Linked DNA regions of Macaca mulatta. Each later gene encodes a partner of the first gene's protein in a complex. Links are inferred from orthologs where the notes say so. Each region holds a gene or a part of one and is shown on either strand. Other genes may lie near its edges.

What was found.
Region 2: the proteins of MAD2L1 (region 1) and MAD2L1BP are in contact, whole or in part, in a crystal structure (PDB 2QYF), measured with the Homo sapiens proteins. The link is inferred for Macaca mulatta from reciprocal best matches to the Homo sapiens genes MAD2L1 and MAD2L1BP. Residues at the interface, in NP_002349.1 of Homo sapiens: Tyr33, Arg45, Thr52, Leu54, Lys122, Asp126, Glu127, Arg129, Ser130, Arg133, Gln134, Thr136, Ala137, Thr138, Thr140, Phe141, Leu142, Leu144, Glu179, Val181, Arg182, Leu183, Arg184, Tyr199, Asp205; in NP_055443.1 of Homo sapiens: Pro61, His79, Tyr82, Gln83, Gln85, Pro88, Leu89, Pro90, Gln93, His96, Ala185, Leu187, Arg188, Phe191, Arg192, Phe195, Asp198, Ala199, Phe200, Ser201, Glu202, Leu203, Gln204, Ala205.
Region 3: the proteins of MAD2L1 (region 1) and MAD1L1 are in contact, whole or in part, in a crystal structure (PDB 1GO4), measured with the Homo sapiens proteins. The link is inferred for Macaca mulatta from reciprocal best matches to the Homo sapiens genes MAD2L1 and MAD1L1. Residues at the interface, in NP_002349.1 of Homo sapiens: Tyr38, Leu61, Tyr64, Asn67, Val68, Trp75, Gln82, Lys83, Ser89, Ile91, Glu92, Ser93, Gly94, Arg99, Gln101, Ser150, Phe151, Asp152, Leu153, Leu154, Ile155, Tyr156, Thr157, Asp158, Lys159, Asp160, Leu161, Val163, Lys166, Trp167; in NP_001013858.1 of Homo sapiens: Glu527, Arg528, Ala530, Leu531, Gln532, Gly533, Asp534, Tyr535, Gln537, Ser538, Arg539, Thr540, Lys541, Val542, Leu543, His544, Met545, Ser546, Leu547, Asn548, Pro549, Thr550, Ala553, Arg554, Leu557.

What each region holds. Positions count from the first base shown.
Region 1 is NC_133410.1:128,904,211-128,906,634, reverse strand, and holds part of MAD2L1 (mitotic spindle assembly checkpoint protein MAD2A), read left to right. Parts: intron 1-1,793; coding exon 1,794-1,914; intron 1,915-2,424. UniProt on the Homo sapiens protein: Component of the spindle-assembly checkpoint that prevents the onset of anaphase until all chromosomes are properly aligned at the metaphase plate.
Region 2 is NC_133409.1:138,483,191-138,487,292, forward strand, and holds the start of MAD2L1BP (MAD2L1-binding protein), read right to left. Parts: upstream 2,860-4,102; 5' UTR 2,841-2,859; coding exon 2,795-2,840; intron 2,327-2,794; coding exon 2,061-2,326; intron 1-2,060. UniProt on the Homo sapiens protein: May function to silence the spindle checkpoint and allow mitosis to proceed through anaphase by binding MAD2L1 after it has become dissociated from the MAD2L1-CDC20 complex.
Region 3 is NC_133408.1:35,900,837-35,904,484, forward strand, and holds part of MAD1L1 (mitotic spindle assembly checkpoint protein MAD1), read right to left. Parts: intron 831-3,648; coding exon 620-830; intron 1-619. UniProt on the Homo sapiens protein: Component of the spindle-assembly checkpoint that prevents the onset of anaphase until all chromosomes are properly aligned at the metaphase plate.

The DNA.
Region 1 (2,424 bases):
ATGCCCGGCTAATTTTTGTATTTTTACCAGAGACGTGGTTTCACCATTTTGGCCAGGCTAGTCTTGAACTCCTGACCTCGTGATTCACCCACCTCTGTCTCCCAAAGTGCTGGGATTACTGGCGTGAGCCACCACACCCAGCCAGTTGTTTTGTTTTGAATGTCATTTCCTCTAGCCTTTTTTAGGGTCTTGATCCTGTTCTCTGTTATATTTTCTGCTTCTGTGTTTTGATTTTAATTATCCCCATTGTTTTCATCTCTCCAGTTTTAAAGGAAGAACAAATTACCACCCAGTCTCCTCCTTTTCAGAGTGAAACTCATAAAAAGTTGTTGATAAATGCCAGGGATCACAAGGCCCACAGGCCGCATCCAACAGGTGGCCTGTTTTTGCACTGCCCACAAGCTAAGAATATTTTTACACTTCAGGTTTGTTTAAAAATAAGCAACAGAGACCTTGGTGGCCTATAAGCTTAAAATATTTACTAATTACTCTTTTTTGTAATTTTTCTTTACAAAGTTTCTTTACAAAAACTTCGCTGACTCCTGAATATGCTGTTTCAATTTCCAAGATTACTTCAAGGCTCAATCTGAGCCCCCGTTCTGTCTTTATAATTTCTCTATAGGTGATTTCTGACCTGTGTATAGCTTCACTAGCAACCTCTGTGTAGTCAACTCACAAACTTATATATCTATCCCAAAGCCTCTTTCTCCAGACTCATATATTCAGCAGCTATATCTTTATGTAGCTATCCCAGAGATAACATATACTCAAGCATACTAAAAATTAAATTTAGGATCATATCCAAAACTGATACTCTTTAATTTTCTCTCTGTCAGTGGCTAAACCGTCCAAACAGAAATAAAAGAAACTTGGAAGCTGTCCCTGAATCATGCTTCTTCCTTACTACCATGACTAAACCCAATAAATTTTAACCATGAAATCTCTTACATTTACCTACTGCTTCGTCTCTACCAGTTTATCCTCCTACAAGCTTTCATTAACTCTTGCTCGAATTACTGATGGACCAACTAGTGTCTCTAGATCCCCTCTTTAACATCTCCAGTCTACTTTCCATATCACAGCTAGAATGATAGTTTTGAAATACAAGACTAATTGCTTTACATCCTGCTTCACACACAGTAATGACTTCACTGGTCTTGAAGTGCATATTTTTTAAATTTGATCCACCAGGCTTTGCGTGGTCTGGCTTCTATTAATCTTGCAAGGATTGTATTGTTTTATTTTGTTTGTTTGTTTGTTTCTTGATTGCACTTGTAGTGAGCTGCTTCCAGTCTTCTAGTTATATGCTCTTCCCTTGTGAGTATTTGAGGCCTGTATCTTCTTTCCTATCCTTTTGCATATTTAATGCTGTTTATCCCTAGAGCTAAACTCAAACCTTTTCTGACCTCCGTAAGTGGCTCAAATTTTCCTTCTTTTATGCTCTCATTGCATCTTACATCTCTCTTTCATAGCAGCCATTACAATGATAATTTGTCATTTATTGGTGTGATGAGTAGATGAATGCCCATCTCCTATGCTTTTATCTTGGATTAGGATGAAAGTACCATATGTTCAGTATTCTGTCCTCAGCACCAATTACTGTACCTGGTACAGATACTGAGAATTTGAAAACAGAAGTTAGAGTATTGATGGTGCAAATTTTCTTGCACGTAGGAGGAAGTCCAAGATAGCAGTGGTAGGAATTTGCTGAGGATAGGGAGTAGGACCTGAGAAGAGAGCTACTTTATGATGCAGTGGACCAAGAAAGATGCCTTCATTTTTATGTGTTGCAGATTGGTTATACAAGTGTTCAGTTCAGAAACTGGTTGTAGTTATCTCAAATATTGAAAGTGGTGAGGTCCTGGAAAGATGGCAGTTTGATATTGAGTGTGACAAGACTGCAAAAGATGACAGGTAAGTAGGAATTACATTATTTCTACTTTGATATATTTTTTCAAAACTTGTTTTTATTACCAATTGAGTTCTAATTATATTGAACTAGTTTTATATAAAATATAGTTTGTTTCTAATTTATATTTTCTAAGATATCCTCAGTCACCTGTGGAAAAGAATTGTCGGTTTAACATATCATTGATTTGTATATATATAATTGCCTTTAGTCTAAATCAGCAATTTTCAAACAGTATTTATGGTGGTATATACAAAACTACACATGATATACTAGATGAACCATTTAATGAATTGTTCTAAGATGTTTTTAACTATAAGGAATTATATTAGATTCACACAATTTATGATGTAGCTCTGCTGTACTTCCTTTAATGCCATCTACTTCCTAAGACACTTGATAAATTTCTGAAAGTTCCAGACTCCCTGGAAGAGAAGTGTCTGTCTTTATACTCTAATGTTTAGCATTGTCCTAGGCATGCTTTTCTATAAACTGGGAACCATTTCTTACAGTGA
Region 2 (4,102 bases), on another chromosome or scaffold:
GTGGTGATACAGGCACCACAGAGGCAAGAATGAATATAGGGGAAATGAATGAAAATCTGTGTCAAGATGCTTAGATCATCTGCCAAATTTCTCCCCCATCCAGAGGGAAGACTTTCCAATACTATGTTTAAGGAATCCCCCCAAAGAGATCACCAGGTTGCCACCTAATCTCCTTATAGTGAAGTCTATAAGCTCATAAGGCCCAGGCATGCACACAGAGCTTGCAGTGATTTGTTCTTAAATATTCACCAGACACAATAAAATTCTCCAACATGAAAGTCAAAGACCAGAACAAAACAAATGGAGAATGGATTCTAGAAGAAACTGAGATGCCGCAAAGAACAAAGAAAAACTTCAAAAATTAAATAATATCCTCAGGCAAAAGAAGTTCATGGCCTGGTGCGGTGGCTCACACCTGTAATCCCAACACCACTTCGGGAGACTGAGGCAGGTGGATCACCTGAGGTCAAGAGTTTGGGACCAGCCTGGCCAACATGGTGAAACTCCGTTTCTACTAAAAAAACAAAAATTAGCTGGGTAAGCCAGGCGTGGTGGCTCACACCTGTAATCCCAGCACTTTGGGAGGCCAAGATGGGCAGATCACTTGAGGTCAGAGTTTGAGAGCAGCTTAGCCAAAATGGCGATACCCCGTCTCCACTAAAAATACAAAATTTAACTGGGTGTGGTGGTACACACCTGTAATCCCAGCTACTTGGGAGGCTGAGGCAGGAGAATCGCTTGGAACCCAGAAGGTGGAGGTTGCAGTGAGCCAAAATCGCTCCACTGCACTCCAGCCTGGGCAACAGAGCGAGACTCTGTCTCAGAAAACAAACAGGCTGGGCATGGTGGCTCATGCCTGTAATCCCAGCACTTTGGGAGGCTGAGGCAGGCAGATCACCTGAGGTCAGGAGTTCGAGACCAGCCTGGCCAACATGGTGAAACCCTGTCTATACTAAAAATACAAAAATTATTTGGACATGGCGGCGCATGCCTATAATCCCAGCTACTTAGGAGGCTGAGACAGGAGAAGCGCCTGAACCTGGGAGACAGAGGTTGCAGTGAGCCGAGATGGCGCCACTGCACTCCAGCCTGGGTGACAAGAATGAAACTCCCTATCAAAAACAAACAAACAAACAAAATTAGCCAGGTGTGGTGGTGCATGCCTGTAATCCCAGCTACTTGGGAGGCTGAGGCAGGAGAATCACTTGAACCTGGGAGACTGAGGTTGCAGTGATCTGCGATAGTGCCACTCTCCTCCAGCCTGGGTGACAAAGTGAGACTCCATCTCAAAAAAAAAAAAAACAACAAAGCAAAAAAAAGTTCATACAGAAATTCAACAACAGGATGCTATTAAAAAGAAACATGCAGGCCGGGCGCAGTATTTCACGCCTGTAATCCCAGCATTTTGGGAGAGGCCAAGGCGGGCAGATCACTTGAGGTCAGGAGTTCGAGACTAGCCTGGCCAACATGGTGAAACTCCATCTGTACCAAAAATACAAAAATAAACCGGGCATGGTGGCACGTGCTCTTAGCTACTGGGGAGGCTGAAGCACAAGAATCGCTTGAACCTGGGAGGCAGAGGTTGCAGTGAGCAGAGATCACGCCATTGCATTCCAGCCTGGGCAACAGAGCAAGACTCTGTCTCAAAACATAAAATACAAAAATTAGCTGGGTGTGGTGGCGGGAGCCTGTAATCCTAGCAACTCAGGAGGCTGAGGCAGGAGAATCCCTTGAACCCAGGAGGGGGAGATTGCAGTGAGCCAAGATCTCACCACTGCACTCCAGCCTGGGCAACAGAGCGAGACTCTGTCTCAAAAGAAAAAAATGCGAAGAGCCAGTTCATTAAGACCAAATGCAACACGAGTTTCAGAAAGAAAGAACAGGAGAAAAAGCCAGAAGGGTTAGGCTACCAAAGACTAGAATGGGGAGAAAGTGACTGAAGCCCTGGAAGCTGCTTAGTCTCTCAGGCTCTGAAGATTTCTTAGACCCCCTTTCTACCTGCCTCCCATCTAAGAGCCACAAAGTCTTCCCACCAACTTGCTCCCAAAGCCTGTGCCTACCTGGGGAGAAGGTTTTCGGTAAAAGTTCTTAAGCTGTTCATAGGGCAGAGGGAGTTGCTGGCGTTGGTACATGATATGCTTTAGAAGTTCACAAGTAAACTGACAGCAGCCTTCCTGGCTTACAGGCCCAGGAAACACCACTGGTACTATGCAGTCTCTTGGGCAAAAGGGCTCCGAAGGGTTGAGAGGTTCCTGGGTAGAGCTTGTCTCAAGCAGTTCTATCTGGGAGGCGTGAGTTTCTTCTGACTTCTCATACCACTCCAAATCTGGTAGATGAAAAGAGGGACAAGAGAGAAAAATTTAAAACCTAAAAGCCAAAGTCAGTCTTCTCATTCCCTGTGGCCACCAAACCAGCCACCCTGAGAAAGCAGGCACTCCGACATACGCCCATACCCTCCGCAGCCTACAGTGTGGGCCGTGGCAGGGAGAGATTCCTGATCCCTGTTGCCTGAGGAGATTTAATTGACTGAAAGATAGTGGGGGTATTTCGGAGGTAGTAACTAGGGCTCCCCGCTCAGAAAGCAGCGGGACTTGATCTGGGGAAATGAGTCAAAAGTGTAGTCAAGCAGGGTCCAGTGCGACCCACGGCGATGGAGTCACAGCTAGAGCCTTGTAGGACACCCGGAAGACAGGGAAGATGGGCTAGGGAGAGGACCAAGGGATAAATGGAGGGCGCGGAGGTAGGGAAGAAACGGGTCCCTAAGGCTTCCCAAACTCTGGGCCCCACGCCTTACCAGGGACTGAGGCTGGGGACAGAACCTCCGCCTCCGGCGCCGCCATCACGACCTCCTCCCCTTACTCCTTGCGGTTAGAATAAAGGTCCCGCGGGGCATCATGGGAAGCCCGCGCCTCCACTTCCGGTTCAGTTGGGCCGGAAAAAAGGCGCGGCGCCACGGCAGTGTTGGGGAGGCTAAGTGGAGTTGGGATTTGATCCCTCCGTTCCTTCCTTAACACCCTGGCAAATATACGCCTAACCCTTGCCCAGCAAGAACCCAGGCGTTCTCAGCCAATGAGCGCTGCTTTCCAAAAGACACCAACCCTCACGCATCCATTCACTCCAGCATTCACTACTCACTGTGCACCTACTTCGTGCCAGGCCCTGTCCTAGGTGCTGGAGACTCAGCGGAGAACAAGCCAGGCGCGGACCCTGTACTCAAGGGGTTCACTGCCTGTAGATACCATACAATGTGATGAATTATACAGAAGGGTTTACACGGGGTGTGGAAGTGAAAAACAAGGGTGCCTGACCCAGAGAGGGTAGGGGCTGGGAAGGAGTGGTCCCAGAAGAAATGTGTGAAGCTGTGACCTGTAGGATAAGTCAGCAAGGTAAAGAGGAGGGCCCAGTGCTCCAGGAGACCTTGAGACAAGAGCATACTCTGTTCAAGGAATGAAAAGAGTTCATATTATAAAGAGTTAAGGCTGTAGTGAACAACAGGAGCCAGATCATGGCAGGACTGTGTAAGCCATGTGAGAGTTTGGACTTGATCCTGTAGTCAGATGGGGAAGCTTTGAAAGGTTTAAGTAGGAGAGTGGCATGATTAAATTTACATCTTATAATCTCTACCCTGGCTGCAGGGTAGAGATTGGATTACAGAGAGGATAAGAGAGGAGGCAGGGATACCAGTTAGAGGTAGTGCAATTACCTGAGTACTTGATGAAAGCAGCCTAAACTGCTAGGGTAGTCACAGTGGGGTGGAGATAATTGGGTAACTCGATATATTTAGGAGGTCCAGTGAACATAACTTGGTGATTGATTTACAAGGAGGAGGAGGAATAGAAATAGACTGACAAGAGGCCGGGCGTGGCTGCTCACACCTGTAATACCAGCACTTTGGGAGGCCAAGGCAGGTGGATCACAAGGTCAGGAGTTTGAGACCAGCCTGGCCAACATGGTGAAATCCTGTCTCTACTAAAAATACAAAAATTAGCTGGGCATGGTGGCATGCACCTGTAATCCCAGCTACTCAGGAGGCTGAAGCAGGAGAATCGCTTGAACCGGGAGGCAGAGGTTGCAGTGAGCTGAGATCACGCCACTGCACTCC
Region 3 (3,648 bases), on another chromosome or scaffold:
GCAGGCTCACGGGGAATGCTCTCCCACAGTACAGGGTGCGATGGCAAGTAGGTGGGAAGAAACAGGAGAGGGTGTCATCGGATGAAAAGCACCACCTCACCACATCAGGGGATAGGCCGGCATGCCAAAGGCTGCGGGCCTGACTTAGACCTGGAGGGTGCGGGCAGGCCCCGCTGGCCCTCGTGGAGGCCCCACTCTTCCCTGAAGCGCCGCAGGCCTTCGCTGCAAAGGGCTCTCTGGACTTCGTGAGGCGCACTTAGGCTGGTGAGAGACGGACTTGTTTTTGGAGAGGATTAGATTTACTTGTGATTAATGGTGTGTGTATAAACTAACAAATGATACGAATTTGTTTAAGGGCCTAAGATTTCAGCCCCTTGTTTCTCCACTGCTGCCTGCAAACTTGGACAGCTCCACCTGTTTGCACAACCCTGCAGGTGCATGGGGACACGGGGCCGGGGTGCTCCGCTCCAGCAACCACCAGGCCTGGCTGCCCACAGGGGAAGACAGACCCTCTGGGGATGACAGGCAGGTGACAGCCAGAGGCTGCCCCAAGAGCGCGCAGATGGACCTACCCACAGAAGGTCAAAGATGGTGGGGGCTGGGGGTGGGGGGTGCCTACCTGCCACCTCCTTGGATGATGGCAGACTCGCGGCAGCAGCCTCAAGGTCGGTTGGGACGGTGCCACCTCTCTCCATGGCGCGCAGGAGCCCTCGCAGTCGCTCGCACTCTGCCTGCAGCTGGCTGTGGTCCTCACGCAGGCGCTGCCTGGCCACACTGGCGGGGTTCAGGCTCATGTGCAGCACTTTGGTCCTGCTCTGGTCATAGTCACCCTGCAGGAACACACACAGCACGGGTCACCATGGCCCAGGAAGATATGTGGCACGGGTCACACGCAGCACATGTCACCATGGCCCAGGCACACGTGCAGCACAGGTCACACACAGCACAGTGCTCAGTTATTTTGTCTTTTTGAGCCTGCCTGGCAGCCGTCTCTCCTTGAAGGAATGGCTTCTTCCCTGTGCCCTGTGGACAGGTGCAGGACCAAGGCCTGGCCACCTGCTGGGTCCCTTCTGCCTAACCACAGGAAGAGGGTGAGAGGGGACACGGCCCTGGTTCAGCGAAGCGCAGCACTTCCCAGAGTTCCATGCTTAGTGCCTGGGAGGGAGGCTTCCTCTTCTCTGAGGTTTCTGGCTGGGAGGAGGCTTGGAGCCCGTGTGGCCATGTTCCCATCTCTTCCCGGCCAGCCTGGAAGGTGCCCCGTGCCACAAGAGAAACAAGGTCAACCACACAGAGATGGAGGGCAAGGGAGCCTGGCACCGGCGTGGGTGGCTCAGGAACGTGCCTTGCGACCTGATGCTCCCGTGAAACCCAGGGCGGGGACGTGTGTGGCATCCTTGAGGTAGGAGTGCGCCTGGAGGCCCAGCCTGCTGACCTGTGGTAGGTGACCGACCCCCAGCAATGAGCATCACGCAGCCCTGCAGCAGGGGACAGCCGCCCAGGGCAGGGGACAGCCGTCCTGCAGCAGGGGACAGCTGCCCGGGACAGGGGACAGCCCCCCGGGGCAGGGGACAGCTGTCCTGCAGCAAGGGACAGCCACCCAGGGCAGTGAACAGCCACCCGGGGCAGGGGACAGCCACCCGGGGCAGGGGACAGCCGTCCTGCAGCAGGGGACAGCCGCCCGGGGCAGGGGACAGCCGTCCTGCAGCAGGGAACAGCCGCCCGGGGCAGGGAAGTGCAGGGTCACTGCGCACCCCGAGACCGCGACCTCATGCCACACATAAACATCGGTTCCACCACGTTCTGTCTCCTGGGAGTAGACACAGCTTTCTCAAATAGGGTTCAGGAAGTAGTGGCCGTAAAAGAAAAAAAAAAAAAAAGAGTACAACTGACCTTATACAAGTCAAGAACTTCATCCACCGCAACAGTGGAAAGGCACCCACAGAGCAGGTGGTGCTGTCTGAAAATCACATTTCTGAGAAAGGGTTCAGATCCAGAACATACGAAGAACTCAGAAATAACCAAGGGCATGTCAGACAACCCACTCTAAAAATGAGTCAAAAATGTGAGCAGATACTTCCCAAAGAGAGACACCCAGAAAGCTGATAAACACATGAAAAGGCGCACACACATGGGCCCGGGTCGGGGCTAGTGGCACACACACAAACACGGACTAGGACTGGGGCCAGAGACACACACACACAGGCTAGGACCGGGGCCAGAGACACACACACACATGGGCTAGGACCAGGGCCAGAGACACACACACACAGGCTAGGACCGGGGCCAGAGACACACACACACGGGCTAGGACCACGGCCAGAGACACACACACACGTGGGCTAGGACCGGGGCCAGAGACACACACACACATGGGCTAGGACCAGGGCCAGAGACACACACACACAGGCTAGGACTGGGGCCAGAGGCACACACACACATGGGCTAGGACCTGGGCCAGAGACACACACACATGGGCTAGGACCGGGGCCAGAGACACACACACACATGGGCCAGAGCCGGGGCCAGAGGCACACACACACACGGGCTAGGACCAGGGCCAGAGGCACACACACACATGGGCCAGAGCCGGGGCCAGAGGCACACACACACACGGGCTAGGACCGGGGCCAGAGGCAGGCACACACACAAGGGCTAGGACCGGGACCAGAGACACACACACACACATGGGCTAGGACCGGGGCCAGAGACACACACACACAGGCTAGGACCGGGGCCAGAGACACACGCACACACGGGCCAGAGCCAGCGCCAGAGGCACACACACACACATGGGCTAGGACCGGGGCCAGAGGCACACACACACACATGGGCTAGGACTGGGGCCAGAGGCACACACACACACGGGCTAGGACCGGGGCCAGAGGCACACACACACACATGGGCTAGGACCGGGGCCAGAGGCACACACACACACGGGCTAGGACCGGGGCCAGAGGTACACACACACACATGGGCTAGGAGCGGGGCCAGAGGTACACACACACACGGGCCAGGGACGGGGCCAGAGGTACACACACACACGGGCCAGGGACGGGGCCAGAGGTACACACACACACGGGCCAGGGACGGGGCTGGGGCCAGAGGCGCGCACACACACACACACGGGCCAGGGCTCCCGCCAAGTGCTGAAACTCTGCTGTTCGTGGCTGTCAGCTGTGGGGCAGTGAGACTGGGTGGGCACCCCGTCCCTCAGGCCCAGACACCACCAGCCCCCGTGAATGAGGGGTGTGCCAGGGAGCCAGGCCAGCTCCGTGCTTAGCAATGGCCTCCTCCCCTTTGGCAATGAGTTCCCGCCGCCCTTGGGGCTTCTGTCCGCACACTGTCCTATCTCCCAAAGGGGAACAGGGAAACATTTCATGTGTTCGGGTCACCCCACGCTCTCAGGAGAGAGGCCGGTGTGGACACATCCCATGAAGTGAAGCGACCAGGCGCAGTAAGCCTCCAGCCTCCCAGAGCCCAGGCTGTGGTGGGCCACTGCTCTCCAAGTCCCTGAAGGACGGCGAGGCCTGGCCTGGGCCGTGCCCACTGCAGGGCGCCTGAGTGGGGCTGGAGCCCGTCAGCCGTGGGCAATCGTGGTCCCAGAGCCCAGAATGTGCTTCCCATAGGGAGGGAGGAGGGGATGGGGAA